Linked DNA regions of Sus scrofa. The protein of the gene in region 1 purifies or fractionates together with the protein of each later gene. This does not show direct contact. Links are inferred from orthologs where the notes say so. Each region holds a gene or a part of one and is shown in the gene's direction. Other genes may lie near its edges. The genes, in order: STK4, VAPA, MAP1B, RASSF3, SLMAP, MAP1S and RASSF6.

The links.
Region 2: the proteins of STK4 (region 1) and VAPA purify together in Homo sapiens (affinity purification with mass spectrometry; 3 studies listed by BioGRID and IntAct, counting the BioPlex papers as one, with this or other methods). This does not show direct contact. The link is inferred for Sus scrofa from reciprocal best matches to the Homo sapiens genes STK4 and VAPA.
Region 3: the proteins of STK4 (region 1) and MAP1B purify together in Homo sapiens (affinity purification with mass spectrometry; 5 studies listed by BioGRID and IntAct, with this or other methods). This does not show direct contact. The link is inferred for Sus scrofa from reciprocal best matches to the Homo sapiens genes STK4 and MAP1B.
Region 4: the proteins of STK4 (region 1) and RASSF3 purify together in Homo sapiens (affinity purification with mass spectrometry; 5 studies listed by BioGRID and IntAct, with this or other methods). This does not show direct contact. The link is inferred for Sus scrofa from reciprocal best matches to the Homo sapiens genes STK4 and RASSF3.
Region 5: the proteins of STK4 (region 1) and SLMAP purify together in Homo sapiens (co-immunoprecipitation; 3 studies listed by BioGRID and IntAct, with this or other methods). This does not show direct contact. The link is inferred for Sus scrofa from reciprocal best matches to the Homo sapiens genes STK4 and SLMAP.
Region 6: the proteins of STK4 (region 1) and MAP1S purify together in Homo sapiens (affinity purification with mass spectrometry; 3 studies listed by BioGRID and IntAct, with this or other methods). This does not show direct contact. The link is inferred for Sus scrofa from reciprocal best matches to the Homo sapiens genes STK4 and MAP1S.
Region 7: the proteins of STK4 (region 1) and RASSF6 purify together in Homo sapiens (affinity purification with mass spectrometry; 5 studies listed by BioGRID and IntAct, counting the BioPlex papers as one, with this or other methods). This does not show direct contact. The link is inferred for Sus scrofa from reciprocal best matches to the Homo sapiens genes STK4 and RASSF6.

What each region holds. Positions count from the first base shown.
Region 1 is NC_010459.5:47,407,529-47,411,860, forward strand, and holds part of STK4 (serine/threonine-protein kinase 4), read left to right. Parts: intron 1-1,871; coding exon 1,872-2,039; intron 2,040-4,332. UniProt on the Homo sapiens protein: Stress-activated, pro-apoptotic kinase which, following caspase-cleavage, enters the nucleus and induces chromatin condensation followed by internucleosomal DNA fragmentation.
Region 2 is NC_010448.4:98,215,691-98,220,022, reverse strand, and holds part of VAPA (vesicle-associated membrane protein-associated protein A), read left to right. Parts: intron 1-3,607; coding exon 3,608-3,781; intron 3,782-4,332. UniProt on the Homo sapiens protein: Endoplasmic reticulum (ER)-anchored protein that mediates the formation of contact sites between the ER and endosomes via interaction with FFAT motif-containing proteins such as STARD3 or WDR44.
Region 3 is NC_010458.4:48,486,347-48,490,678, forward strand, and holds part of MAP1B (microtubule-associated protein 1B), read left to right. Parts: coding exon 1-4,332. UniProt on the Homo sapiens protein: Facilitates tyrosination of alpha-tubulin in neuronal microtubules. Phosphorylated MAP1B is required for proper microtubule dynamics and plays a role in the cytoskeletal changes that accompany neuronal differentiation and neurite extension.
Region 4 is NC_010447.5:29,110,763-29,114,947, forward strand, and holds the end of RASSF3 (ras association domain-containing protein 3), read left to right. Parts: intron 1-354; coding exon 355-504; 3' UTR 505-3,132; downstream 3,133-4,185.
Region 5 is NC_010455.5:39,705,059-39,709,390, forward strand, and holds part of SLMAP (sarcolemmal membrane-associated protein), read left to right. Parts: intron 1-473; coding exon 474-591; intron 592-4,332. UniProt on the Homo sapiens protein: Associates with the striatin-interacting phosphatase and kinase (STRIPAK) core complex, forming the extended (SIKE1:SLMAP)STRIPAK complex.
Region 6 is NC_010444.4:60,018,747-60,023,078, reverse strand, and holds part of MAP1S (microtubule-associated protein 1S), read left to right. Parts: coding exon 1-1,703; intron 1,704-4,332. UniProt on the Homo sapiens protein: Microtubule-associated protein that mediates aggregation of mitochondria resulting in cell death and genomic destruction (MAGD). Plays a role in anchoring the microtubule organizing center to the centrosomes. Binds to DNA. Plays a role in apoptosis.
Region 7 is NC_010450.4:69,790,265-69,794,596, reverse strand, and holds part of RASSF6 (ras association domain-containing protein 6), read left to right. Parts: intron 1-1,134; coding exon 1,135-1,274; intron 1,275-4,332.

The sequences.
Region 1 (4,332 bases):
AATATACTATTATATTATAATAGTATATTAATATTATCTCAATTGCAGTCTTACCAAGGAAACCAAATTGGCTTCATACTTCTTCTTCTTTTTTTTTTTTTTATACGGCATATGGAAGTTCCCAGGCTAGAGGTCAAATTGGAGCTACAGCTGCCGGCCTATACCATAGCCACAGCAACTTGGGATCCGTGCTGTGTCTGCGACCTATGCCACAGCTCATGGCAACACCAGATCTGTAACCCACTGAGCGAGGCCACCTCATGCATACTAGTTGGGTTTGCTGTTACCACTGAGTCACAATGGGAACTCCACTAATGTATATAATATTATATAAAACATGTATATTATAAAAAGAAATTATATATGGACAAATGAATGTACACACATATATTTTTTTCTTTTTCATTTCTTGATTTCACATGTAGTACATGCTCACACAATCCATCCAAGTGTTACAGAAATATGCAGGTAGAAAGTAAAAGTCCTTAGTGATTCTGTCTTCTAGATAGAGCTGTTGTTAATAGTTTGATGTATATTCCTTGGAGATTTTTTCGCTATCCATATAACAGCAATATTTATTATTATTGGTTATTTTTTTTTTAAATTATTGTTCTGATCATTACTTTTCTTCTACAAAGACAAGGCTATGTTATATGTAATTTTGAATCTAATATTTTTGCTTCACAGTGTGTCTCGTACATTTTTCCCATGTCAGAAAAATGTATCTAGGAGTTCCTGCTGTGGTGCAGTGGACTAAGCATCCAACTGCACTGGCTCAGGGCACTGCAAAAACATGGATTTAATCCCTGGCCCAGTGCAGTGGGTTAAAGGAATCCGGCGTTGCTGCACCTCTGGTGTAGTTTGCAGCTGTGGATCAGATTCAGTTCTGGCCCAGAAATGTCCATATGCTGCTGAGGCAGCAATAAAATTTAAAAAAAAATGTATCTAGCTCTTTTGTTTTGTTTTGTTTTTTCTGGGGTCACACCCGTGGCATATGGAGGTTCCCAGGCTAAGGGTCCAATTGGAGCTGTAGCCGCTGGCCTACACCACAGCTCACAGCAACGCTGGATCCCCAACCCACTGAGCAAGGTCAGGGATCGAACCCACAACCTCATGGTTCCCAGTCAGATTTGTTAACCACTGAGCCATGCCGGGAACTCCTAGCTCCTTTTTTTTTAATGTGGTGTTTCATTGTGTGGATATTTATTGTACTTAACTTGTTGCCTTTAGTTGGTAATTCGTGTTGTTTCCTTTTTCTTTTCTCCTTTCTATTACAAATATTTCTGAAATACTTATGCATATATCTTGGGGTACTTATACATAGGACACATTTCTAGAAACAGATTTTTTTTTATGGCTGTACCTGTGACATATGGAAGTGTCTGGGCCAGGGATTGAATCCAAGCCACAGCTATGGCAATACCGGATCCTTAACCCACTGAGCTGGGCCAGGGATCGAACCCGTGCCTCTGCAGCATCCCGAGCCACTGCAGTCAGATTCTTACTCCATTGCGCCACAGCAGGAACTCTCAGAAACTGATTTTGGTCAAAGGATATGGACGTTTAAATTTTATAAATGTTGCCAAATTGCCTATTATCAGTACTAGTTATTGTTAATCTTTTTAATTTTTGTCAATTTCATTTTAGTGGTTTTATTAATTGATTGTTATTTTTATGTTTAAATAATTGAGACTCTTTTACATGTCTGTGTCATTTGAATTTCTTTTGTGGCTGCTTGATCGATCATGCTTCTTTAATATGGTTTTTGTGTGTATTTCAAGTCCTAGTCGTGTCTTCTTGTTGGTTTGGACAGGACTCTCTTTCCCAGTAGTTTTAATGCTTGGTGTTGATCTTCCTCCTTTCTATTTTAGGATACCATGGCCAAAAGAAATACAGTGATAGGGACACCATTTTGGATGGCTCCAGAAGTGATTCAGGAAATAGGGTACAACTGTGTGGCAGACATCTGGTCACTGGGAATCACTGCCATAGAAATGGCCGAAGGAAAGCCGCCGTATGCCGATATCCATCCAATGAGGGTAAGAACATGGACAGAATATCAGCGGGGTGGTTAGTTACCAGTGATCATTAGAAGGTTGGTTCAGCGACTTACTTGGTTAGGTACCAAACAATAAATGAATTAATTTTAAATAGTTGATAAGTGTCAGTCTAGACTCCAGTTGTACACTTCCATTAGTTGTAGTCACTTATGAATTCAAGTGTAATCCACTCCTCTCCATTCCAAAGATTGTGTACTCGTAGCCCTCTGGCAGGACATGGGCCAAGAAATGCTTGGTTTGACTTGTGCATTGTGTGTGTTTTTAATAGTTCAGGTTCTCGCGTTTTAATATAACAGCATTAACTGGAGCTGAGGAGCAGTCCTGACCTTCATACAGGGGCGTGGGCTTAGCACTTTCCCAGTCTCCACGATTCCGTATTCACCAAGTACCAGTTATTGCTTATTGCAGTGTTTTCTGTTTTTCTTATAATAGTATTAAGAGGAAAGCAGACTGTTTTTTTGAACTCATGTCACTAACACCCAGCCTGATTCATTTGTTGTCTTTTTCCTGTCTCGTCCTTACATGAGTGAGTTCTGGAGGCTCTGTGCTTTCCAGGCTCCATCCGCTTGTGGAGTATGAAGGGCCCATAGAGTCATTCTCCATTGAAACTCCTTCTGTGTTGATAGCTAAGCAGTTTCCAGGCTTCAGCCACCATAGAACCCCCCTCGTCACAGCACTGTTGCAAGAGCTCAACCCGGCCTTCAAGGGCTCCGTAGTCCTCTCCAGACTGCCCATCCCAGCTCCTCCTCTCCTCTGATTAAGTAGTCCTTCTGTCAAAAGACCTAACAGTTTTTTTTAAAAGTATTTGTGTGAAAATAATATATATACAAAATAAAGTATTCGTGTGCTCAAAGATAAGCTCCGTCTTTGTAGGGGGCAGAAGTGGAGAAGGATGGGAAGATTTACTGGTTATATTTTTAGATTGAATGAATATAATGTAAGCTGCTTATTGCAGAGTTTTATTTTTTCTAGAAACTGTACTTCTTTTATTGGAAACACGATAAATAATATAGGCATACCTCGTTTTATTGCACTTTGCTTTATTGCTTTTAACAATTGAAGGTTTGTGGCAACCCTGCATCAAGAAGTCTGTTGGTGCCATTTTTCCAACAGCATTTGCTCACTTAACGTCTCTAGTCAACATTTTGGTAAATCTCGCAATATTTCAAACTTTTCCATTGCTGATATATTTGATATGGTATCAGTGATCTTTGACGTTACTATTTCAAAAAAAGATCATAACTCACTGAAGGCTCAGATGATGGTTAGCATTTTTAGCAATACATTATTTTTTTTAATGCAGGTATATACATTGTTTCTTTAGACATAAAACTATTGCACACTTAATAGACTACAGTATAGGGGAAGCATAACTGTTATATGCACTGGGAAACCGAAAAAATCATGTGATTTGCTCTATTGCAGCAGTCTGGAACTGAACCTACAGTATTTCCTATAGTTTTATTTTTTTTGGAAATAGTAGAATTTAATTGCCATGTAGTAGGCCAATTTTTTTTCAAGTATGTAGAATTAATGTGGCTTGGAGGCTGATGACTCTCTTGTGATTTGGGGGACTTCTAGGTTTATGACCTCCTTTCAGTCACTTTTTTTTTTCTCTGCTTTTTAGGGCCGCACACACGGCTTCTGGAGGTTCCCAGGCTAGGGGTTAAATCGGAGCTGTAGCTTCTGGCCTATGTCACAGCCACAGCAATGCGGAATCCCGAGCCGTGTCTTCGACCTAGACCACAGCTCACGGCAACCTCGGATCCTTAACCCACTGAGGGAGGCCAGGGATCGAACCTGCAACCTCATGGTTCCTAGCTGGATTTGTTTCTGCTGTGCCACAACGGGAACTCTGCAGTCACTTATTATATCCAGGGGTGGTGGTAACTTTTAGGGAAGAGGGAAACTTGACAGCTACAGGGCTGGGGTTCTCTTCAAGATGTTGATGTTTGGTCTTGCCTTTTCACTTTGAGTGGCAGTGTACTTTGGTCAGCAAAACCCCCAAAAAGCTTGCTGGATATCGTGAGGTTTATGGGACGAGAGTACAGATGAAAGAGGGAGAGAGAGAGAGGGAAATCAGAGGGAGGAAGAGGGGGAAGGAGAGCTCTATCAGCTTCTCTAATTGTCATAACTTCCTTCTTTGAGATACTCAGACTTTCATTGCAATTTGGGGGCTTATAGTGGGGAAGAGAAAAACCATTTCATCAAACTTCCAATGTATTTCTAGTCATATTTTTATTGGAGCATCACTTTCACTTTGCCAAATCTT
Region 2 (4,332 bases), on another chromosome or scaffold:
GCTCATACAGGAGTCACGAGAATGTACCCCAGGTTTATATTCTTTTGTTCCTTTGTTCCTCCCAAGGTTTCATTGCAAAACCCTACTTTGCCTTATATTTTACCTTTTCCTTTCTGTCTAGTCCCTAAGCCCTTGCATATTCTAGTTATCTCCAAAAGGAATAACTTAGAATATTGGAACTGAAATTCTGGAGATGGCTGGGAAAAAAAAAAAAAACAGAGAAGTAAGTTCAACTCATAGATGGAGGGGGATTATTGCAGATAGGCTAAATAATATAGAATAGCGGAAATTGTACAAAATAATCATTTTTTTTACGACCTTGATCTTCAGTTTCTTCTAGTTGCAGTTTTAGATACTGTGTTAATGTCATGTTGCTCTTCATCATTGCCTAAGTCACAGCATGTCGAGTCCCTCCAGTTTGCTTGTTTCATGGTTCTCAGAACAACCAGTCTCCTCATTCTGGACCAGTCTGAAGCACCTCTCACCGAACACGCTGTTTTCCTGGAGCCAAACCTCCCTGTGGCGCTCCTGGATGGACGAGTGTAGTTTAGTCTCAGCAGCCTTAGTGTTTCCATCAGGCTCTTCAGATTGTTGCTACTCAAATGGCTCGTCCCCCCACCCCCTCAACCCTCCCACCCCCCATCCTGGTTAGGTTATGTGTGCTTCTACTTTAAATAAATTAATCTGTAAATAAATTAGACTTCTTTGCATCTAGTCTTTATGTTGACTGGTTTGTAGGGGCCTGAATGACACTGAGTCCATGATATAAGTACACTCAGTGTAACTTTTCCATGACTTATTTGGCTCATTTTTGAAATGTGTTTAAGCTTCACTGTATCTTTTGCATTCCAGTCTTCCCACATTTATGCTCCACAAATTGGTTATGACACTCAAATTGGTTTCTTCTCCTTTTCCTTATAAAAGCAACATAATAACATTGAGAAACATTTCAATAAAAAGAAAAATCTAATTCTGCCACCATGAGAAGATATTGATTAATGTTATTTAAAATCCCAAAGAGTGGGAAGCTACCCATCAACTAACAGGAGTGAGGTGTTTAAGTCATTTTGATAAGGCACAGGATAGAATATTTAATGACATCATGTCATTTAAAGTAATAGTTAAGGAGTTCTCATTGTGGCTCAGTGTTAACAAACCCGACTAATATCCATGAGGATGTGGGTTTGATCCCTGGCCCTGCTCAGTGGGTTGAGGATCCAGCATTGCCCTGAGCTGTGGTGTAGGTTGCAGACATGGTACAGATATGGCGTTGCTGTGGCTGTGGTGTAGGCAGGCAGCTGCAGCTCCCATTTGACCCCTGGCCTGCTCCTGTGGCCCTAAAAATAAAAATAAAATAATTAAAATAAGTTTGCATACATGAATGATAAAAGCATTACATGTATGCTGATTTTAGAAGCTATGCATATGAGGGAGTTACCATTGTGGCACAGTGGCAGCGACTCTGACTAGTATCCACGAGGATGCAGATTCAATTCCTGGCCTCGCTCATTGAGTCCGATTCCACCCCTGGCCTGGGAACTCACATAAGCTGCAGGTGCGGCTCTAAACAGCAAAAAAAAACAAAAGCAAAAACAAAAACCCCATGCATATGAGAAAATATTGGAAGATAATATATAAATAATGGTTATGTTGGGTTGATGAGAGGGTGGTGAGTTCCTCTCTCTTTCAAAATCCTCAATTTTCTGGAGTTTTAAGAATTTGTTTAAAAATTGAAAGCCAGTCGTGAAGAGTTTGAGGATTCCTCGTTTTAATTTTTTCCCCTCTGGTTGGCCTCTTGTACCCTCCTCTTAATTTTTTAGTTAACTTTCTGTGGTATTTTTGCCCAGACCTGAAGATTGCTCGGTTGCCCTGCTGTTGCCTGTTTGCCTTCATCTTTAGAGCAAGGTTTGCTCCATTTGCACAATTCTTGTTTTCTGAAGCCCACCCACTCTCATGGGTACTCATGTTCTGAGTTGGTAGAGAGCAAAATATATCTAAAACAGAATTTTTAATAATAGTGATGGGATCAGTGAGGACGACGGGAGGTTAGAGCGGACAACAGGAAAGACGGGAGAAGAAGACAGAGAACATTGAAGCAGACTTCCTAAAAACTCGTCACAGCTGGGAAGCTTCCGAAGAAAATGAAAACTCAGAATGTTGACCGGAACTTCATTATAATACTAGTAATTTTTACATGAATTTAGACAGCAGTGATCAAATCACATTCTCTTCATAAGAAATAGTAGTTTTGTCCCTTGAACAAACAGTATATACTTAATATAAAGTCAGGAGCTGGGTGCTGTGGCAGGTGTGTAACCTACAGTTAGACTGGTGAGTGCTGTGGAATGCTATAGTTGATTTTGGAAATGGTTTTTGTTAGATGTTTCTACCCTTCCATCTGAAAAGTTAAGGATGAGACTTGGTGCATGCATTTGGGTAGGGTGTGTGTGATGGTGTGGATGATTCTGGGGAAAGGGCGCTGAGGCCACAGGCTCAGGACCCTGACCTCTGTGTGTGTCTCTGAGCCTTTGCCACTGGTGTCATGCATGTGAGTTCTGGCAGGACTGAAGATTGGGGGCTTACAGATTTTTGTGTGTGTGTCTTTTTAGGCTGCACCTGCAGCATATGGAAGTTCCCAGGCTAGGGATCCAAATGGAGCTACAGCTGCTGGCTTACGCCATAGCAGCAGTGACACCAGATCTAAGCCGAACCTGTGACCTACACCACACCTCATGGCAACACTGGATCCTTAACCCACTAAGCAGGGCCAGGGATCGAACCTGCATTCTCATGGGTACTAGTCAGGTTCATTACCGCTGAGCCACAAGGGGAACCCCTGGGGCTCACAATTTTAAAAGTGCTTGAATACCAGTGTGATTTCCGTGTTGAATTCATAAGCAGGCGTGTTCTCAGTTATGGTCGTGTGTCCTTAACGTCATGAAACTGACTTTCGCCTTTTGTTCCCATGACACATCTTTGTCTTCATTATTTTCCCCTTCAGTGTTTCTATCCTTCAGCTTTTTTTTTTTTTTCCATTGGTAGAAGTTAGGTTTCCTTTGAAATGTTCTTTTTGGATAGTCTCATTTTATTGGAAGGATTGCAGTGAACTCCCCTTTTGCTCCAGAGCCTCCTTGGAAGTGCAGAGTCAGAGCACTGACAATGAACTTCATGTTTGGATTTTGGTTGGTGGCGCTTTTTGTACTTACGGAGTAACTGCTGTTGGCCCAAGTGCTGGATTTAGGGGTCAGTGTACAGAGAGCTGACTCTTGTCTCCCTGCCTTTGAGGTTTGGTAGGGAGGACACTCCGGGTCCACTATTGCTCTGTGGTGGAGTGAGTGCTCAGGGCCATGGGCGCACAGGAGGGAGTGTGCTGCTCCTGCCGACCTCCCTGACCGCCTGCCAACACTCACTAACTTAGTCCTGAAGGTGGACAGATGACTAAACATTTGGTATTTTAAAAACTTCCTAATAGTGAAATTGAAAATTGGGAAGACTTTTCATTTAAATAATTTTTTGGAGAAGGATGTGGAGTTTAAATTTTTGTTTAAAACCTGTGAGAAGATTGAGTCCTTTAAAAGAACTCCGATCCACTGTCTTTGTGATGCAGAACGACATGGAGCCCAGCAAAGCTGCGCCCCTGAACGCCGCCAAGCAGGATGGGCCGGTGCCAAAGCCGCACAGTGTTTCCCTCAGCGATGCGGACACCAGGAAGCTGGTGGAGGAGTGCAAGCGGCTCCAGGGAGAGATGGTGAAGCTGTCGGAGGAGAACCGGCACCTGCGGGTGAGTGCTTGCCATAGCATGGCCTGAGTGGGGCCAGGCGTGGGTGGGAGGGGCCGCTTGATGTCAGCCTTGACCGAAGCCTCTCCAGTTCCTTTTCCTTCCCCCAAGTGCGTTTCTGTCCTGGCCTTGGGCCCCAGCCTCTCACTGCCCACACGCTCCCTTCTCAGCAGCGGTCCTGGGCTTCCTCTTGCTCGTTCTGCCCTCAAGGTCTGTGCCCTGGTCCCATGCTGCCACATGGTGCTGTTCCAGGGTAGCCACCAGTCACGTGGGTACTTGAGATTTGGGTGGTGTGAGTTAGGACATGCTGGGAGGGACACTGCAAAAATCCATCTCTTTTTGTTGTTACACGTTGAAATATATTGGACTAAATAAATCACATTATTAAAACTAATTTTTCCAGTTTTTGTATATTTTTAATGTGCTGTTAGAAAATTTAAACTTCCGTATGTGGCTCCCATTTGAAGTGCCTGTCCTGGAGGGGCTGGGTATCCTGGAAGAGCTCCACTGCTGCATACAGCTTCCTCCCACCACCTCCCACAGGCGTGCCTTTG
Region 3 (4,332 bases), on another chromosome or scaffold:
GCTTAACCCAGTCAAGAGCAGCAAGGAAATGCAGTATTTTATGCAGCAGTGGACTGGCACCAACAAAGACAAGGCTGAACTAATCCTTCCTAACGGTCAGGAAATAGATATTCCAATTTCCTACTTAACTTCAGTCTCATCCTTGATCGTGTGGCATCCAGCAAACCCTGCAGAGAAAATCATCCGCGTCCTGTTTCCTGGCAACAGCACCCAATACAATATTCTGGAAGGACTGGAAAAGCTCAAGCATTTGGACTTCCTGAAACAGCCACTGGCCACGCAGAAGGATCTAACTGGCCAGGTGGCCACCCCTGCTGTGAAACAGGTGAAACTGAAACAGAGGGCTGACAGCCGGGAGAGTCTGAAGCCAGCGGCGAAACCCCTTCCCAGCAAAGCCGTGCGAAAGGAGTCAAAAGAAGAAACCCCTGAAGTCACAAAAGCTGCTCAGGTAGAAAAGCCACCTAAAGTCGAAAGCAAAGAAAAAGTAACGGTGAAAAAAGACAAACCAGTGAAAACTGAGACCAAACCTCCCGTGACAGAAAAGGAGGTGCCCAGCAAAGAAGAGCTGCCTCTGGCCAAAGCCGAAGGGGCTGAAAAACAAGGTGCAGACGTTAAACCCAAAGTCGCCAAGGAGAAGACAGTGAAAAAGGAAACCAAGGCAAAACCAGAAGAAAAGAAGGAGGAGAAGGAAAAGGAAAAGCCAAAGAAAGAAGTGGCTAAAAAGGAGGACAAAACACCCATCAAGAAGGAGGAAAAACCAAAAAAGGAAGAGGTGAAAAAGGAAGTCAAAAAAGACATCAAGAAGGAAGAGAAAAAAGAAGTCAAAAAAGAGGTTAAGAAGGAAACCCCACTGAAGGAAGCCAAGAAGGAAGTTAAGAAGGAAGAAAAGAAGGAAATTAAAAAGGAGGAAAAGGAACCCAAAAAAGAAATCAAGAAGCTTCCCAAAGACACAAAGAAATCCACGACTCCTGTATCTGAAGCAAAAAAACCAGCTGCATTAAAACCAAAAGTACCCAAGAAGGAAGAGCCTGTCAAGAAAGAATCTGTTGCTGCTGCCGGGAAGCCAAAGGAGAAGGGGAAGATTAAAGTCGTTAAGAAGGAAGGCAGGACAGCAGAGGCTGCCGCTGCCGTCGCCCTGGGCACCGTGGCCACCGCAGCGGCCGTGGCGGCTGGGATGGCGCCCGCTGGCCCCGCCAAAGAACTCGAAGCCGAGAGGTCCCTTATGTCCTCCCCCGAGGACCTGACCAAGGACTTTGAAGAGCTGAAGGCCGAAGAGGTCGACGTAGCAAAAGACGTGAAGCCTCAGCTGGAGCTGATCGAAGATGAAGAGAAACTGAAGGAAACCGAGCCCGGCGAAGCCTATGTCATCCAGAAAGAGACCGAAGTCATCAAGGGTCCCGCCGAGTCCCCCGATGAGGGAATCACCACCACAGAGGGGGAGGGCGAATGCGAGCAAACACCCGAGGAGCTGGAGGCCGTCGAGAAGCAGGGGGTGGAAGACACTGAAAAATTTGAAGACGAAGGAGCGGGTTTTGAGGAGTCTTCCGAGACCGGAGACTACGAAGAGAAGGCGGAGACAGAGGAGGCTGAGGAGCCGGAGGAGGATGGCGAGGAGAGTGTGTGCACACGCACATCCAAGCACAGCCCCGTGGAGGAGGAGGAGGAGAGCGCGAAGGCTGAGGCCGACGTGCACATCAAGGAGAAGAGGGAGTCCATCGCCAGTGGCGACGACCGGGCAGAGGAAGACATGGACGAGGCCTTGGAGAAGGGAGACGCTGAGCAGTCGGAGGAGGAGGGCGAGGAGGAGGAGGACAAAGCTGAGGATGCCAGGGAGGAAGACTATGAGCCCGAAAAGGCTGAAGCCGAAGACTACGTGATGGCCGTGGTCGATAAGGCTGCAGGGGCTGGTGGTGCCGAGGACCAGTATGGATTCCTCACCACAGCCGCCAAGCAGGTGGGAGCCCAGTCTCCTGTCCGAGAACCTGCATCTTCAATTCATGACGAGACCTTACCTGGTGGCTCGGAGAGTGAGGCCACCGCTTCTGATGAGGAGAACCGGGAAGACCAGCCCGAAGAATTCACTGCCACCTCCGGCTACACTCAGTCCACCATTGAGATCTCCAGCGAGCCCACCCCCATGGATGAGATGTCCACTCCTCGAGATGTGATGAGTGATGAGACCAACAACGAGGAGACAGAGTCCCCGTCTCAAGAATTTGTAAACATCACCAAATACGAGTCTTCACTGTATTCTCAGGAATACGCCAAACCTGCCGTGACATCACTCAACGGACTGTCTGAAGGGTCAAAAACAGATGCCACTGATGGAAAGGATTACAATGCCTCAGCCTCCACCATCTCACCACCCTCATCCATGGAGGAAGACAAATTTAGCAGATCTGCTCTGCGTGATGCCTACTGCTCTGAAGACAAAGAAGTGCGAGCCAGTGCCACGTTGGAGGTCAAAGACACCGTCTCTGCAGTTTCCGATGAAAAACTTAGTCCACCCAAGAGCCCGTCCCTGAGTCCATCTCCGCCATCACCCATAGAAAAGACCCCTCTGGGTGAACGCAGTGTGAACTTTTCTCTGACACCCAATGAGATTAAAGTCTCAGCAGAGGCGGAAGTAGCCCCAGTGTCTCCTGAGGTGACCCAAGAAGTCGTTGAAGAACATTGTGCCAGTCCTGAGGATAAGACCCTGGAAGTGGTGTCTCCATCTCAGTCTGTGACTGGCAGTGCTGGCCACACACCTTACTACCAGTCTCCCACTGAAGAGAAATCTGGTCACCTTCCCACAGAAGCCATTGAAAAACCAGCGGCAGTCCCAGTCAGCTTTGAATTCAGTGATGCCAAAGATGAGAGTGATAGGGCTTCCATAAGCCCCATGGATGAACCTGTGCCTGACTCAGAGTCTCCTATTGAGAAAGTTTTGTCTCCTTTACGGAGCCCACCGCTAATTGGATCCGAGTCTGCATATGAAAGTTTTCTAAGTGCCGACGACAAGGCTCCTGGTAGATACACAGAAAGCCCCTTTGAGGGAAAGAATGGAAAACAAGGCTCTCCAGACCAAATAAGTCCAGTTTCCGACACGACTTCCACTGGTCTTTTCCAAGACAAAGAGGAAGGGAAAAGCACAGACTTTATACCAATAAAGGAAGATTTTGATCAAGAAAAGAAAACTGACGATGTTGAGGAGCTGAGTTCTCAGTCAGGACTGGCTCTGGATGAAAGGAAGTTAGGAGATGTTTCTCCTACACAGATAGATGTCAGTCAGTTTGGATCTTTTAAGGAAGACACTAAGATGTCCATTTCTGAAGGCACTGTCTCAGACAAGTCAGCTACCCCTGTTGACGAGGGTGTGGCAGAAGACACATACTCTCACATGGAGGGAGTGGCCTCGGTCTCCACAGCTTCTGTGGCTACGAGCTCATTTCCAGAGCCAACAACAGATGACGTGTCCCCCTCGCTGCATGCGGAGGTCGGTTCCCCACATTCCACCGAAGTAGACGACTCCCTTTCAGTGTCTGTCGTGCAAACGCCCACCACTTTCCAGGAAACAGAAATGTCTCCATCTAAAGAAGAATGCCCCAGACCAATGTCAATTTCTCCGCCAGACTTCTCCCCTAAAACAGCCAAGTCTAGGACACCAGTTCAGGATCACCGATCTGAACAGTCCTCCATGTCTATTGAGTTTGGCCAGGAATCCCCTGAGCATTCTCTTGCTATGGACTTCAGCCGACAGTCTCCAGATCACCCTACAGTGGGTGCAGGTATGCTTCACATCACTGAAAATGGGCCAACGGAGGTGGACTATAGTCCTTCTGACATGCAGGACTCCAGTCTGTCACATAAGATCCCACCAACGGAAGAGCCGTCCTACACCCAAGATAATGATCTTTCTGAGCTCATCTCAGTATCCCAGGTCGAGGCTTCCCCATCCACCTCTTCCGCACACACCCCTTCTCAGATAGCTTCTCCTCTCCAAGAAGATACTCTATCCGATGTTGTTCCTCCCCGAGATATATCCTTATATGCCTCCCTCACCTCTGAAAAAGTGCAAAGTCTGGAAGGAGAGAAGCTCTCACCGAAATCCGACATCTCTCCACTCACGCCGAGGGAGTCCTCTCCTTTATATTCCCCGAGTTTTTCAGATTCTACCTCTGCAGTCAAGGAGAGCATTGCCGCTTGCCACGCTGCCTCTCCTCCACCGACGGATGCAGCATCCGCAGAGCCCTATGGCTTCCGTGCCTCGATGTTATTTGATACGATGCCACACCATCTAGCCTTGAGTAGAGATTTGGCCACATCGGTCATGGAGAAGGACAGTGGTGG
Region 4 (4,185 bases), on another chromosome or scaffold:
GCTGGAGGGGTGTGTGACTCTCCTTGTGTTAAGTCCAAACTGAACATTGCTTCTTGCCTGTAAATGCCTTTCCATCTCAAAGCAGGACCAAGTGCTTTATTTTTGGTTGTGCCCTGGGCCAGGGATCAAGCCTGTACCACAGCTGTGACCAGAGCAGTGCAGTGACAACGCCAGATTTTTTTTTTTTTTAGGGCTGCACCTGGGGAGAGGAAGGCAGGGCTAGTGGGGAGGCTCCTCCTGCCAACCAGGACTTCGGAGAACTCTGGTCACCTCCCTGGGCTCGTGGTCCGCATTCCTAAGTCTTGACGCTGAATTGACCACCTGGCATTTTTCGGTTTTTGTGTCCTCTCACAGTGGGAAGCCTTCAGCCTGCCAGAGCTACAGAATTTCTTGCGGATCTTGGACAAGGAAGAAGATGAGCAGCTGCAGAACCTGAAGGAGCGCTACGCAGCCTACAGACACAAGCTGGAAGAAGCCCTCGGCGAGGCGTGGAAGCCCGGGTAACGCGTGGGGGCTCCCTGCCCCTCGGGCTCGGGGACGGCGTGGGACCTGCGTGCAAACCCAGCAGCTGGTGTCTCTCTTGTCGGAGGGCGGTTTTCCTGCCCCATGATGCTCGGGCCTTTCCCCTGAACGAAATTTCTAGGCCTAGTTCCCCACGCTGGTCACGCAGCACTTCGGCGCCCTCCGGGAGGGATCCTGCACGCTTGTTCCGTTTCGGCACCGCGGTCTTACCTCTCGGCAAGCTGTGAACCTGTAGTCTCATCTGGAGCATTTTGGGGGGCTTTGAAGCATGGACTCTTGGGTGGTGTTTTTGTTTTTCTTCTTCTTTTAGCTCGTTGTCCTTAGGATGTGATGAGGATGTGAAGCTGAAGGTTGTGCCGGTGCTTCGGTGGAAGCTTAGCAAGGAATCGGTTGGAATACTTATCCTATGTTGAAACTACCTGTTGGTTTAGGGGGTTTTGGTGTTTTAAATGTCAGAGAAAACAATCTGTGGGAATTGAAGGGCACAGGAAGCTAGGACCTCTGAGGAGTTGGTGAAGGATTCTGGAGGAGTCTGACCAAGAAAGTGAAGAGTAAGTTTGGAAGAGGGTGGGTGGAGGCGGGGAGCCCTGAGGGACGGTGGTTTGGGCCAGGAGTGGAGGGTAGAGGAGGAGGTGAATTTGCTTGTCGATGAGTTAAACGCTTTCCGTTTTGAGACGTTCAGTTTAGAGACCTTAAACCCACTGTCTATGGCTTGATTTCCTGGCGAGTCAAATGTGGGAACAGAACCAAAGAAAGTAGGAGCTAGACCGGAAGGAGGGGCTGACTGCAGCGGAGCAGGGAACCCAGCGTGGATATTCACACGGGACAGAGCTGCCCTCTCAGCTGCCAGCCCCCATTCGGCCTTCTCTTCTCGGGGTGCGCGGTCCGATGGGTGCCGCTTCTCTGGGCCGTGGGGCCGTGGGCCCTGAGCATCTGCGATGACTCCTGTGACGTCACAGCTTTCCTCCCAGGTCCTTTTCAAAGTGGAAAAGGAGTTTGGGAAGGAGGCGGCTTTTTGCCACCACCCCCCCCCCCCCCGCCCCCCAGTTATTAGCAGCCGGGAGGTCGATCCGGTGAAGAGCTCCCGGCACACTTTGGTGACAATCCCTCCCTCCTCTGCCTCGGCTTCCCTTTTTTTTTTTCCCCTCGCTCCTCCCTCCTTCCCTGTACTCACTTCTTTCCCTTCTCCCTTTGTTTTACAAGTTGAAGCCTCATCTTACACAGAGCGGAACAGTGGTGTGGGTTAAAGACCCAGGACTGTCAGATCCTCAGTTCCAAAGGGTGACCACCTGACTGTAAGGAGGAGGGTAGCGTCCACCAGCCCCCCCACTTGACCACACAGGAGGGGGTTCTTTATGGAGGTGTTTTCACACAAGTGCATGTTCCTGCAAACCAAAGAGTGCGTGTGCAATAGGAGCCTTCCTCGGAGCAAGTGAAATAACCTCATTTTACACAGCAGTTAATCTGAAAACAACAGGAAAGTTGTGCTGTGCTTCTGGAGTGGCCTTACAGTCTGTTTTTAGTCTAGATATTGTTTGTTTATAAATTCCCAAGGAATTGTTAACACTTTGGTGACACCTAATGGATTCTTTTTGAAATTCCAAGGTGCTTCAGTTCTTTGCCTCTTCAGTGAACTGTGGCTTTTTTTTATTGCATTTCTTTGGTCCTTGTGGTGGCCCTTCTGACTTTTCAGAGAACACCCTTCTTGTTGGAGGCAGATGTAAGTGTCGCTTCTGCTTTGCCACATGCATTACTGAGACAATCATATCTTCCTGAGCTTTTTAAGGAAAGTTGGAAAGAAAAAAAAAAGTAGAACTAGCTATAAAATATGTATGGCACCTCTTGTTTAATTTTGCATGCAACTTCTTTTTCGTGCATTAATGAGGTTTTAGTGACATTGTCATCTAACACTTTACCTTCATTGTTCAGGGAATGCCTTCATGATTTTTGTACTGGTTTTACTATTCAGAGAATGGCTTGGGTGTGAGGATACTGTTATCAACCACCTGGTCTTTTAATTACCCATCCCAGTAAGCGCTTATTTTGTGAAGCCTTATGTTTCTCAGATTCAGACACTGTTAGAACCTTAATATAGTAGTTGATGGGTATCTGTGAATTTTTTTTTTTTTTTTTTTTTTTTACTTGAAGTAGATTGTCTAAATTAGGCATCCTCATCTGCATTATCCGGGACCTCGCTCACTGTCATGTGCACTACAAGTCGCAATTTGGAAAACTGTGTCGCAATCCTGTTGGTTCATGGTTCTTGAAGACCGACGGTCTTTCCCAAAACACTGGCGACTGCAGCAGCATTTTTAATGTGTAAAAGGCCACTGAGGCCAAAGATTTTTTTAAAATCATTGTACAAATTCTGATGTTAAACTATTAAGCTTTGCTGTAATACTGTTTTCTCTTCAATATGTGATGGTACAGGAACGAGGTTAAATGAAGGGGTCGTATTGCAGGGGAGCATTTTAAATCACAGAAGTAAAAAAATTATAATATTTATAATTTTGATGAATTTAAGTTTATTTTTATGGGGAAGAGTTTTCTTCTCTAAAATTGTTTCTGGAATGGCAAATTGTTTCCATTATTAAAAGTTGAAGTTGTTAATTGATGTTTGTGTGTTTTTATTTATGGTAATGCACCAGGTAAAGAAAGTCACAGGAGTGGGAGGAGCTACTTGTGCAGGTAACTGGGGACACAGGAACATGGGCCGGCACCTGACAACTTTCATTAGGCTTGAGTGGGGCACAGTTCTTCTCCCAAATGTCATTTTTCCTTTGCCTTATCCTCTGGGGAAAATAACCATAGGTGAGTGTCTGCCCACAGGAGACAATTATGACATATACATGCATTTGCAAGGGTATAAAGCATGAGAACCATGTAAAGAATTACTGTAAAGTGGCTGCCCTGTGACCACTACCCAAGTAGAACATTGGCCCTTCCTTAGAAATCCTCTTTCTCCACCACCCACTCCTGCTCTGAGGTCTCCCATTCTTAGAACAGACCACTTTCAACATTCAAGTATCTGCATTTTGTGGTCAATGTGACCCACCGGATGGGTATGGGTGCAGGACTGCTTCTCATAGGCCTCCAAGCCTGCTGAAGGCAAGTGTTTTTACTGCTGCACTGCCCCCTAGAGGTGCTAGTGAGGTAGTGAGGTAGGCGCATGGCTGTTACCAGTCCATGAAGGGGGAAAAAAAAACCCTTTCAAGTGCCACAGCTGCTTTATAAGTGAAAATGTTACAATAAAAATGATGGCTCTATGTAAAATCTTTTTTGCCAAAATATCCAGAAGAATCTAGTTTGCAAGTGTGGCCTGGGTTACTACTCATGATGCAGTGGAAATGTTTTGGAATTTTTATCTCCTAAAGGGAGTTCATTTCCTGCCCTAGGTTTCTTTTCAAAATTTCTCACCAGTTGATAATTAATTATATGAATGTCCTTCTGCTGCAAAATTAGTTTGCAAGAATTATACACTGTTTTGGGCCTCTGTCGGGTGATCCTAATAAGGAGTTTTGTGTTTTTGAAAGAAGAGAAAAGTCTGTATTCAGAGATTATCCTTGATTTACGATGGGGTTACATTCTAATACACCCATCATAAACTGGAAATATCCTAAGTCAAAAATGCATTCAAGGAGTTCCCTCGTGGCTCAGCAGGTT
Region 5 (4,332 bases), on another chromosome or scaffold:
TACAAAATAGAAGCAGACTCACAGATTTCAAAATCAAACTTACGGTTACCAAAGAGGAAACGTGACAAGGAAGGATAAATTAGGAGTTTGAGATTAATATATATACACTACTATGTATAGAATAGATAACTAACAAGGACCTACTAGTACAGAAGAAGAAAATATACTCAATATTCTGTAATAACCTATATGAGAAAAGAATCTGAGAAACTATAGATATATGTATTAACTGATTGACTTTGCTGTACGCTGAAACTGACACAACATTGTAAGTCAACTATACTCCAATAAAAATTTTTTTTACAAAGTGAAGTGGGGAAAAAAATATTACTGAGGTTCAAGGTGTTGGGAATTTCTCTGAGGTATAACTGCAAAGTAACAGGAATTGAAAAATGGTCATATAAAATATACATTAAGGGGGAAAAAAGTAGTTATGTTCCTATATTAACAGATGTGTTTTGGGACTACTTTAGGTGAACTAGAGAAGTTGAGAAAGGAATGGAATGTATTGGAAACCGAATGCCGTTCTCTAAGAAAGGAAAATGTTTTGCTATCATCAGAACTACAGCGGCAAGAAAAAGAATTGCACAAGTATGCAAGAACTCTTTTTTAGTTTCAGAATATTTCTTTATCTTAAATTTTCATCTAAATTAAATTTAATTTTGATACTTAAATAGGTTTTTGGAACAAAATATTTAGCCAGGCTATTTTTGGCTATTTGGCAGGTTAACTATGTTAAATGACTACATCAGCATTTTTTTCTGCCACCACCATCATCCTACATCCTTTCCTTTTGGTGTACTCATGGAATACAGATTCATTAAATGCCCCTTCTTCCACCCTAAAGCCCTAAACAGACAAACAGCAAAGATCTATATTTAGTGACTGAACTTGCCCTTTAAACTAAATAATAATAAATTGCAAAAACTAAGTTTGTCTTTGTTTCTTGTGAATGATCCCTTCTGTTTATGAGGGTGATCAGAAGATAGCTGTAATAGGAGTTTCCGTCATGGTGCAATGGAAATGTATCCAACTAGGAACCATGAGGTTGCGGGTTCGATCCCTGGTCTTGCTTAGTGGGTTAAGGATCCAGTGTTGCCGTGAACTGTGGTGTAGGTAGCAGACGAGGCTCGGATCTGGGATCTGGCATTTCTGTGGCTGTGGTGTAGGTCAGCAGCTATAGCTCCGATTAGACCTCTACCTAGCCTGGGAACCTCCATATGCCATGGGTATTGCTCTAAAAAGACAAAAAAGAAGAAGAAGATAGCTGTGATAAAGAATTGATACTATTGAAAGATAAAATTCAGCCTTGGAATTTTTTGTTTGTTTTTGGTTTTGGGGTGGTTTTTTTTTTGGAATTTCAAACAGTTATATAAAGAGTGATAATGTATAAGATCAAAAATTCTTTAAAACCAGTTAAATATTTCCAATATCCAGTACCTTAAGGCAAACCAATGAATGCAGTAGATTTATTGCACCAAATTCAATAGAGTCCTATTTTTCATCAGCATTTGTTGTATAGTTTAAAATTTATTTCTTCCTTAAAAATTTGATCCATTACATGTTTTTTAATTTAAGCTCTATTTACATTCTAATCCAGAATATGAAAGTAGTATATGTTTATTATTGAAGCTATTTTTTTTATTCTTTTTTTTTTTTTTCGTTTTTTCTTTTTTTGCTTTGCTTGTTAGAGCTGCACCCACAGCATATGGAGGTTCCCAGGCTAGGGATCTAAATGGAGCTAGTACTGCCAGCCTACAACACAGCCATAGCAACGCTGGATCTGAGCCGTGTCTGCGACCTACACTACAGCTCATGGCAACCCTGGATCCTTAACCTACTGAGTGAGGCCAGGGCTTGAACCCGCAACCTCATGGTTCCTAGTCGGATTTGTTTCTGCTGCACCACTACGGGAACTCCAATTATTGAAGCTATTCTTGATTAATTCATCTCCCCTCCCACAGTACACCAAAAATGGGGTCATTGCTCTCTTGTTAGCTTTGTGTTTATACTCCTAAAGAGCATTAAGGTTAGCAAAAACTCAGTGATCAAGGTCAGTTCCCATAGGAAACAAGCTTTAGGGAAAAAAAGGACTAGACTTATCAACATGAGTTATCAGAAAATAGTAATCTCATTATCTCATAAAAACAGGGACAACTGTAATATTAGTTATATATTTAAAAAATCAAGAACCTGGAGTTCCCGTCATGGCGCAGTGGTTAACGAACCCGACTAGGAACCATGAGGTTGCGGGTTCGGTCCCTGCCCTTGCTCAGTGGGTTAACAATCTGGCGTTGTTGTGAGCTGCGGTGTAGATCGCACATGTGGCTTGGATCCCGTGTTGCTGTGGCTCTGGCGTAGGCTGGTGGCTACAGCTCCGATTGGACCCCTAGGCTGGGAACCTCCATATGCCACGGGAGCGGCCCAAAGAAATAGCAAAAAGACAAAAAAAAAAAAAAAAAAAAAAAAATCAAGAACCAGTTGAAGGAACAAGGTGTGCTGACTTATTCTCTAAAACTCCTTATTATACCATATGTGCTCAATATCAGTATTTTTCAGGCATTTTTTTCTCTTACAATGTCCTGTCTTTCCATAGTCTGTTCTATGTGCATTACTTTTGAATGTTAATTAATAATAGAGAATAAGACAAATGCATGTTTAAAGCAATTTCAGAATATGAATAGGACAAAATAAAGACCTGAAACATAAATAAATAAGTAAATAAATAAATGTGCTCACACAGGCATACACATACACATGTATGTTCTCAAGTTCTTCATATTTGGAATTCATTTGGAGCCATTTAGTTTTGTATTCTATCAAGCCAGAAATACTGATATTTGATTACCAGTATTATCTTACTTTTTTTTTTTTTTTTTTTTTTTTGTGACCACCTCTACGGCGGCATGTAGAAGTTCCCAGGCTACAGATCAAACCCAAGCCACAGTAGTGACAACATCAGGTCCTTAACCCACTCTGCCACCAGGGGACTCCTCTTAAATTATTCTTTTTTGAAATTTTTGATATTTTAGGGGTTCAGACTTGATCCCTTAATTTTGAGATATGATTAATTGGAATCTGGCGATTGTTAAATGTTATTTTTTTAATTCAAGTTTTGTTTAGTTTGTAAAATACTCCTTATGAATTTAAGTCATATGGTTTAAAAATATTAGGCACCAGAAAGGTGAAATATACAAAACATTGATCAAGTTATCTATCTAAATTCACATGACTATTTAAGACATATTAATTCTGTTTTTTAAACTTTTCTGGCTTAATAGTTCTCTAAATTTATTTGTGGAGCACCCCCAGAATATAAGTAGTATTAAGAAGCTAGTCTTCCTTTACAGGGGTCTTACATGCCATTTAGTGCCTAGCCATACTGTCCTGACATTACACTCACACCCTAGGATCTGCCTAGCATCCAGTCAGCATGGGAGTTATACGCTATAGTACTTTGGTTACAATACTGAGACTGAGTCTTATGATCCATCCTAAGAGTGTAAAACTGCCATCTAGATGGGAGCCAAATTCTTCAATGTAGCTACACTATACAGGTCTTTTGTTCTTTATTGTCTAATATTTAGAAGGAAGTGAACAAAGAATTTGTGTTCATGCCTCTCAAGCTGTTTTCCTAGAGTGTAAATCAATTTTTTTTTTTTACATCAAGTTGTAAAAGTAATCATAGAGTTTAAGCTGGAAAAAGGAGTTCCTTTGTGGCACAGTGGGTTAAGAATCAGTGTTGTCACTGCTGTGGTTCGACTTTGATCCCTGGTCAAGAAACTTCCACATGCCGAGGGCGTGGCCAAAACAACAACAAGAAGGAGAAAAAAAAAAAAAAAAAACAGGAGTCCCCGTCGTGGCTCAGTGGTTAATGAATCTGACAAGGAACCAAGAGGTTGCGGGTTTGATCAGTGCCCTTGCTCAGTGGGGTAAGGATCCGGCGTTGCCGTGAGCTGTGGTGTAGGTTGCAGACGTGGCTCGGATCCCGCTTTGCTGTGGCTCTGGCGTAGGCTGGTGGCTACAGCTCCGATTCAACCCCTAGCCTGGGAACCTCCATATGCCACAGGAGTGGCCCAAGAAAATAGCAAAAAGACAAAAAAAGAAAAAAAAAAACATGGAAAACAGCTTGGGTTCAAACTTACTGTTTGACAGTGGAGATCACTAAGACTCTCCTTGTGTTATTTGTGCCTGCAAAATGGTATCTAGGACAGATCTAAGAGCTCAGGAAATGCTTACTCAGAGAATGAAATGTGACCAGTTAGGCGACTTGCTCAACATCTCACAACTAAATAATGGCAGAGCTAGGGTCTAGAACCCAGCCTCCTGGTT
Region 6 (4,332 bases), on another chromosome or scaffold:
CCTGCCCCTGCACCGCGGGCCGCTGCCGGCCGAGCCCACAGTGCTCTTCCAGAAGATGGGTGTGGGCCGGCTGGACATGTACGTGTTGCACCCACCCTCGGCTGCTGCTGACCACACACTGGCCTCCGTGTGCGCCCTGCTGGTGTGGCACCCAGCAGGCCCCGCTGAGAAGGTGGTACGAGTGCTGTTCCCTGGCTGCACGCCTCCTGCTCGCCTCCTGGATGGCCTGGTCCGCCTGCAGCACTTGGGGTTCTTGCGGGAGCCTGTGGTGACCCCCCAGGACCTGGCAGGGCCTCGGCGAGCTGAGAGCAAGGAAAGCGTCGGCTCCCGGGACAGCTTGAGGCGAGAGGGCCGGGCCACGGTGCCCTCCAGGCCTGCCCAGGAGCGCCCCGGGGTGACCCGAAAGGAGCCCCCGCGGGCCGAGGCCCCTCGCAGGGCTGAAAAAGAAGCCAGGCCCCCCCGGGAGGTGAAGAAGGACCCCAAGCTGAGTGCCCCTCGGGCAAGGGAGCCAAGGGAGGTACGCCGGACGGCCTCCGCTGTGGTCAGCAGCAAGAAGGCGGGTGCCCAAGCTGCTCCCAAGCCCCGCAGAGCACCCAACACACCACGCCCTGGTGTCCCACCGGCAGAGAATGGGCCCCGCAGCCCTCCCAGCTTCCGATGTGGAGAGGCCAGCCCCCCCACAGAAGCCTGTGGCTCCCCAGCCCCTCAGCTCGTGGCCACCCCCAGCCAGGAGAGCAGCCTGGAGCTGGGGCTGAGCCCGGTTGGGGAGGATGGCGGCAGCTTGGAGGAGAAGACACTGGAGCTGCTGCTGGCCACCAACACCCCCCAGCCGTGCTCGCCCTCTCCTGCCGGAGCCCACCAGGGCCAAACTGAGAGCTGTGGGCCACTGTCACTGAGCCCACTGCGTGGTGGAGAGGCAGGGCCAGATGCCTCCCCCACAGTGACCACGCCCTCATTACCCGCTGAGGTGGGCTCCCCACACTCCACAGAGGTGGACGAGTCCCTTTCCGTCTCCTTTGAGCAGGTGCTCCCTCCACCGCCTGCCACCTCGAGCGAAGCCGGGCTGAGCCTCCCACTCTGTGGCCCTCGGGTGCGGCGCTCAGCCTCCCCGCATGATGTGGACCTGTGCCTGGTGTCACCATGTGAGTTTGAGCACCGCAAGGCCGTGCCCATGGCACCGGCACCCGTATCTCCTGGCAGCTCCAATGACAGCAGCGCCCGGTCCCAAGAACGGGCAGGCGCTCCAGGGGCCGAGGAGACGCCACCCACATCCGTCAGTGAGTCCCTGCCCACCCTCTCTGACTCGGACCCCCTGCCTGCTGGCCCCGGAACCGCGGACTCAGATGAGGACACAGAGGGCTTTGGAGTCCCTCGCCGTGACCCACTACCTGATCCCCTCAAGATCCCCCCACCACTACCCACCCCACCCAGTATCTGCATGGTGGACCCTGAGATGCTGCCCCCGGAGCAGGCTCGGCTGAGAGAGGGCCTCAGCCGTACCCGGAAGCCCCTCACTCGCCCCAGCCCCGGCACTGCCGCCCCCAAAGCCACTGCAGGGACTGCTGCCAAAACCAAGGGGCTGGCCAGTGGGGACCGGGCCAGTCGGCCACTCAGCGCCCGGAGCGAGCCCAGTGACAAAGGAAGTCGGGCACCCCTGTCAAGGAAGCCCTCGGTCCCCAAGATGACCACTCGAGGTTCATCTGGTAAGTGCCTGGGGGCTGGAGTCCTGCACTGGGCTCCCTGCCCAAGTCCTCCTGTTCCCTACTTGCTGTGTGGTCTTAGCTACTCTTCCTCCCCACCCCCCACCCCCAGTGGGCCTCAGTTTCTCCTATCAAATGGAAACTAGCCTGACTGTTTAAGCTCTTACAATTCCAAGGTGCTCAAGCAGTACTCTCAATGGAAAAGTAATGGGGGCACATCCATCATGGTGACTCTTTCCGTAGCCATGTTAAGCTACGGAAACAGGTGAAGTTTATTTTATTTTTTGCTTTTTAGGGCTGCACCTGCAGCACACGGAGGTTCCCAGGCTAGGGGTCCAGTTGGAGCTATAGCTGCTGGTCTATGCCACAGCCACAGCCGCGCCATATCTGAGCTGCACCTGCAACCTACACCACAGCTCACAGCAAGGCTGGATCTTTAACCCACTGAGCGAGGCCAGGGATCGAACCCACAACCTCATGGTTCCTAGTCGGGTTCATTTCCGCTGCGCCACACTGGGAACTCCCAGGTGAAGTTATATTGTAATAGTATATTTTATTAAACCCATGTGTGTCGAGGTTCCCAAGACCACCCCCAGATTTTATGATTGGCTGGGAGGACTCAGTGTGTGGTCATGCTCATGGCTAAATTTAGTAACAGCAGAGGATATGGAGCAGGATCAACATAGGGAAAGGCATGGAGGGAAGCCCCAGGGAAACCAGGCACAAGCTTCTGGAGCCTTCTCCCCGTGGAATCACGTACCACGTGGTGCATTCCCTGAGATCTGCACTGTGTCTGCGACAACATGTGGAAAGGGCCATCTACCAGGGAAGCTCCTTAGAGACTCAGGGCCCAGGGTTTCTATTGGGCCTGGTCGTGTAAGCACCCTCTGCCTCACACTCACACTAGAAAGTGTTCCTGGATCCAATTTTTAGACACTAGCCAGGTAGGCCACAGTTCCCCTCAATTCTGACACTGTATGCCTGGAGACAGAACCACATTCTACAGGTAAAGGGCTCAGTCCCACGAGCGCCCTCCTCTTTAGGTGCCAATCACTAGGCCAGGTTGTTACCTGTGCTTCTGTCCAACTGACTAAATCAGAGGTTCCCATGACCCCCTCACTGGGTTTGATTAATTTGTTGGAGTAGCTGAAAGAACTCAGAAAAACCCATTTGCTCCCTAGATTACCAATTTATTATTAAAGGATATTAAAGGATAGGAACAGTGAAGAGATATATAAGGCAAGGTTCTGAACAAGGGATCTTATGTCCACATGGAGCTTGGGGCCCTGCACGGTGGCACGAAGCGTTCTGTTTCTCTGATGTGGAAGCTCTCTGCAAAAGGGCCAAAGCCTGTCCTTTGGGGGCTTTTATGGAGGCTTTGTTACATAGTCATGGTAGACTAAATGTTTGGTCTGTGGTGATTGATTCAACCTCAAGCCCCTCTCTCCTCCCCAGAAATAGAGGGAAGGCCTGAAAGTTCCAACCGTCTATTCGCACAGTTGGTTCTGGCAACCAGGCCCCAGCCTGGAGTGGGATCCAAAGTCACCTTCATTAACATAAACCCGATTATGATGGAAAGGACTTGTTTTGAATAATGAGACACTTGTGTCACCTTTTTGGCCCTGAAATGTTTTTGGTAATTGAGGACGAGAAACCAAATATAACAAAAGATGTTCCCATTGCTCTTATTGATCAGGAAATTCCAAGGGTTTGGGGAGCTATGAGCCAGGAATTGTGGAAGAAGACCAAATACATCTAAGGATGACCAAATATATCTCCTTCTTGTAAATCACAAGATCACAGTCTGCTCCCCGGTGAAACAGACCCCTTACAGCCAAACAATCATACCTATTACAGCAGTTACACTTGCAGCAACATCTGTAGAACAGAGAGAACAATTGTACCAACACAAATAGGCCTGACATTTGGAGAAGCTGGTGTCGGGTAGAGGTCGATTTAAAGAAAAATGTCATCTGCTACTTGTTCCATATGGTAAACTTGTGTGCAACTATTTAGCACAGAAATCAGTAGGTGATTAGCCAGATTCAGCTCCTCCTCAGGCCAGGCATTTCCCACAGGCATTACATCCTGAGGAGGCTTTAGCTCAGTCTCCCAGTGCATTTGATTGGCAGTATCAGTAGTATTATAGGACCCATGCACATCAGGTTGAATCTTAGCAAGGCCAAGTTTGTACTGTATTATACCATGGTCATGGTACAGTTCTGTTTCATTACAGAACAAATCAGTAAGAATGACAGAGGTGTTCACTTTGCCTTCCCAATAGAATCTGCCTTTGCCCACATCCCAGATGTTATTAAGGACAGAGGTCGTGACAGTTGGCCTCCGTTCAATTAACTCCGGGTTCCAAGGTGACCAGGGACAAAGGTGGTCACCCTGCCTCAGCTCACAGGCTTCTACCAGAGTCTGGTTATAGAAGAGTCTGTGTTATAAAGCAGGGCCCACCTCCCTCCTGTGGGAAGAACACAAGTGGTACGTAGAATATTCCTCCCCCTACTAACTGTGCTGCAGGATGTGTTCTATTTCTAGCTTTCCTGGGGTGAGGGGTGGTCAGAGTGTCTGTAAATCACAGATGCCCCCAGAGAACTTGTATAAGCCTGGGGTGGGGGGGGCC
Region 7 (4,332 bases), on another chromosome or scaffold:
TTTTTATTACAAATAAGAACTGAGTCATTTATGTTTCTTGGTAATTAATTTTTCATAATAACAAATAGTTACTGGAGGTTATAGTAGTTACTGGATAGTTAGAGAATCCCTTCTATATTTTCTGAATTTCCTATAATAATAATACACTAATAACAGACATCTACATGTAGGAGTTCCCATCGTGGCACAGTGGTTAACGAATCCGACTAGGAATCATGAGGTTTCGGGTTCAATCCCTGGCCTTGCTCAGTGGGTTCAGGATCCAGCGTTGCCGTGAGCTGTGGTATAGGTTGCAGACGTGGCTCGGATCCCGCATTGCTGTGGCTCTGGCATAGGCCAGCAGGTACAGCTCCGATTCCACCCCTAGCCTGGGAACCTCCATATGCCCTAGAAAAGGCAAAAAGACCAAAAAAACCAAAAAAAAACCAGACATCTACATGTACAAAAGCGAAATAGATTAGAAAATAAGTTCTATGAGAATGTGCCTTGGTATTAATATTTACATCCACAAAATAAGTGTTCCACCATGTTTACTAATTTTTCTTTATTTGCATGGAATTTCTTTCTTCTGTTATAATATTTCTGACTTAAAGGAGACTACTCAGGTACTATTGATCTTTTTCAAATATTCAGTTTCTGTTTTGCATTTTACACTGTCTTTACCTGTATTATTTCACTTGTTCTGCATAATAATTTTGCGAGCTATACTTTTCCTGGTCAGAAATGAGAAAACAGCCACGAAATTACTCAATAGCTGTTCTTCTGATTTCTACTTCAGTACAGTTTTTAATTCTGCTTAAATTTTAAGGTAAATAGAAGTAGAGAATTAAACTTTCACTTAAATGAAGAACTAAGAGTTCAGAAAGCTAAAATTTTAGCATACTATGCCCCCTGGTGGGCATGTCATTGTCATTATGACCCACTTGGCTGGTTTTAGCTGTTTTAAGAAATAAGAGAATGCATCAAAACTAAAACCGTTCTGTAGATAAATTTAAAAGCCAAACAGTCCTACCCAAGAATTTATTTTTATCTATTAATATATCTGACAGACTTCACTTCTACATCTTCAGTTAAAACCTTTCCCTCTGTAAATGATACAAAAACAATGTTTGAGATGATTGGTTTCTTCCTTAGACTGAAGATGGTAAACTAATTGTGGAAGGGCTGTTGGACATTTTCTGGGGAGTAAAGCGCCCTCTACAACTGAAAATACAAGATGAGAAGCAGATCCCATCTTTTACTGCGCTAAAGTCACCGGATGTCTTTTCCAAAAGGTGAGCTATCTTTTATGGTTTAAATTCCTTAGAAGATGATCTTCATATTTACCCTTGTTATGTGCACTCTCGAGGATGAAAGCTCTAATGCTTATGGACCATCTCACTTAATCCCCATGGCTCTAGGAAGCAGTTATTCAGAAACCAGGGCTCTGAGAGGTTAGGTAGTTTATACAAGACTCTCAGTTACCATGTAGCAGAACTGGGTTGGACCTCAGGTGTATGGGGGCCAGAGCTTCTGCCCTCTCGGCTGCACTCCTCTCCTGGAAGATTGCATTCTTTACCTAGAAAAGACAGCTAGGCAAGATTTCATTAGTCCTGGACTTGTCACCAAAAACAGGGAGGATAAAATTTAAATTCCTTCTTTCCTTGGGACAAAGGGTTTTTCTTGCCTTCTAGATAGGAGACAATTATGTTCCATCTTATTGCTGGGTCCTGTTGAACTGGATCAGGACAAAGTGCATTTGAAGTGCAATAAGTGCACAAAACAGTTCTCTGTGTGGATTTTTGCAACTGAACCTTAAATATATGAGTCGGACTGATATTTTCATTATCCTTTACAATTCTCAGAAATATTAATAAATATTCCCAAAGGAATCATGCATTATGAATATTTGTTGTCTTCCTGCCTCACTTCTTCCCTATTTAACCTCTGATTCTCTAATTCATCTCCCTTTTGTGTTTACTTGGAGGTACCAGGCCTTCTCTCCATCCATCTCCCATCCATAAATAGATGACTGGAATTCTAAAAGGATGGAGAGAGCACCCAGGACTTTTTCTTCCATCTCACTTTTGGCCAGAATGAAGGAAAATCAGGTATCACCTTGAGAGAGGCCCCCCTTTTCCCTTGGAGAAAACACTGAAGTCCTGCTATGATTTGCACCTTGCCATTCTTTCCCAAACAGGAGGCTTCACCAGTTCTGAACATTTTGTAATTCCCTACACATGTCAGTTTCTTATTTTCCTGATTCTCTTCCTAATCGCCTACTACTTCTTGACACCCATTAGCTAGACTCTTCCACCAATCCTTTAAGATTTGGCCAGTAGCATATTCTCCAGAAAGGCTTTTCTTTTTTTTTTTTTTTGTATCCTTCTTTTTTTAATTTATTTTTTTAATATTTTTTTTATTTTCCCACTGTACAGCAAGGGGGTCAGGTTATCCTTACATGTATACATTACAATTACATTTTCCCCCACCCTTTCTTCTGTTGCAACATGAGTATCTAGACAAAGTTCTCAATGCTATTCAGCAGGATCTCCTTGTAAATCTATTCTAAGTTGTCAGAAAGGCTTTTCTGACCCTTCAGTCAGTAGTAGGTACATTGGTACAGTAACACCTTTTTTTTTTTTTTTTTGCTTTTTTAGGGCTGTACCTGTGGCATATAGAAATTCCCAGGCTAGGGGTTGAATCAGAGCTGCAGCTGAGGCCTACGTCACAGCCACAGCAACACAGGATCCAAGCAGCATCTGCAACTTATGCCACAGCTCATGGCAACACTGGATCCTTAACCCACTGAGCAAGGCCAGGGATCGAACTGGCATCCTCGTGGATACTACTTGGGTTTGTAACCTGCTGAGACACAACGGTAACTCCTACCACTTTTCTATATCACTTTCTGAGCATGCTGTTAATTGTATTTTTATGCACCTGCCTCCCCGTTTAGCCTGTGAAATCCTCCGGGATAAGGAGCATCTCTATCCCAGGGCGCAAAGAGGGCATGCAAAATACAGTATTGACTGAAACCTGCAGAATCCTGGTAGTTAAATTACCTTTGCTCTGTTGGGTGAACTGTCTCTCCATCTCCCATTGTTGACTGGTTACCCATCCAAACTAAAGATGGGTAAGGGGCCCAGTACTTATGAAAGAGCAGAAGAGAGACCACAGACTGAGGCAGCCTGGTGAAGTCCTGCATCCCTCACCTTCAGGTACTAGATGATTGATGGGGCTAATGATTCTGAATGACCAGGAGCATCATTTAGAAGTAGAAATTAACCCTGGGCCCTCCTTTTAGGAAACTGTATCAGCTTTGAATTTGGCAAAATTAGCCATCATTCTTCGTATTACTTAAGAACTTATTACAAACTTCCGTGAGTAGCCAGCTCCTTTGAATGCATTTTAATTATTTGAATCACAAAAAAATGATTATTATTGAACACTGTGGGAAGATGTTAAGGAGATGCAGTAGGCTACTTGTATTATACATTAAGCCATCAGGATTTTGAATGGATATCCCAATATATATATATATTTTTTTTCTCAAATTAAAATTCAAAACACTTCCTAGAAACCCTGAACTTGGGGATGAGTTTCAGGAGCCCAGGTAGACAAGGTAAGTCAATACCTTTCCTTCTTCTGCAGAAGAGGATAAATTAATATCCTTATTTTGTGTTTTCCAAGGAATCTATGTGCCTTTTTTCATTATTTATCAGAACAATGCTGTGAATCAAACAGGAATTATCTTCTTTAGTTTAAAATTGAGAAAGACTATCCTAGAAAACTTGGCTTGCCCTTTGCCATTGTACTGAGACTTACTGGGAGAACATTTGAAGTTAAATGCACACTCGTATTGTATCAGATTTTTCTGGTGGGTAAGAATTATCAGAGAAAGGTCCCACTCTTCTTACACACATGATCAAGGTTAGATTCAGTTGTGATTAATTAGCAGATTTAATCTTCTAATTAATTAGCTAATGTGCTAATCTTTGTGGGAACCAACAGAATCCTCGGAAGGAAGGGGCAGCATAATTTGAAATGGCTCTTTCTCGGCTTCTGATTCCCGTGGGTGCCAAGCCACCTAAGGTGTGTCCTTTGTTTCAATCCAATCCTAGACACTCTCTCTCTGTTTGCCATCCTTAACATGGTATTTGTTTAAATTCTAAGCCTTAAAGGGAATTGTGTAGAGAAGGAGACTGCACACTCACTCTGTGACACTTCTTCTTGTTCCTTTTCCCACACGGGGTTTCTGGCTGCAGAACTTACACCTCTCCTCTCACAGGATCAGCGATTTAATATCTCTAGTAGGCAGTTGTGGAATAAAAGATATAAAAGTTGTACACT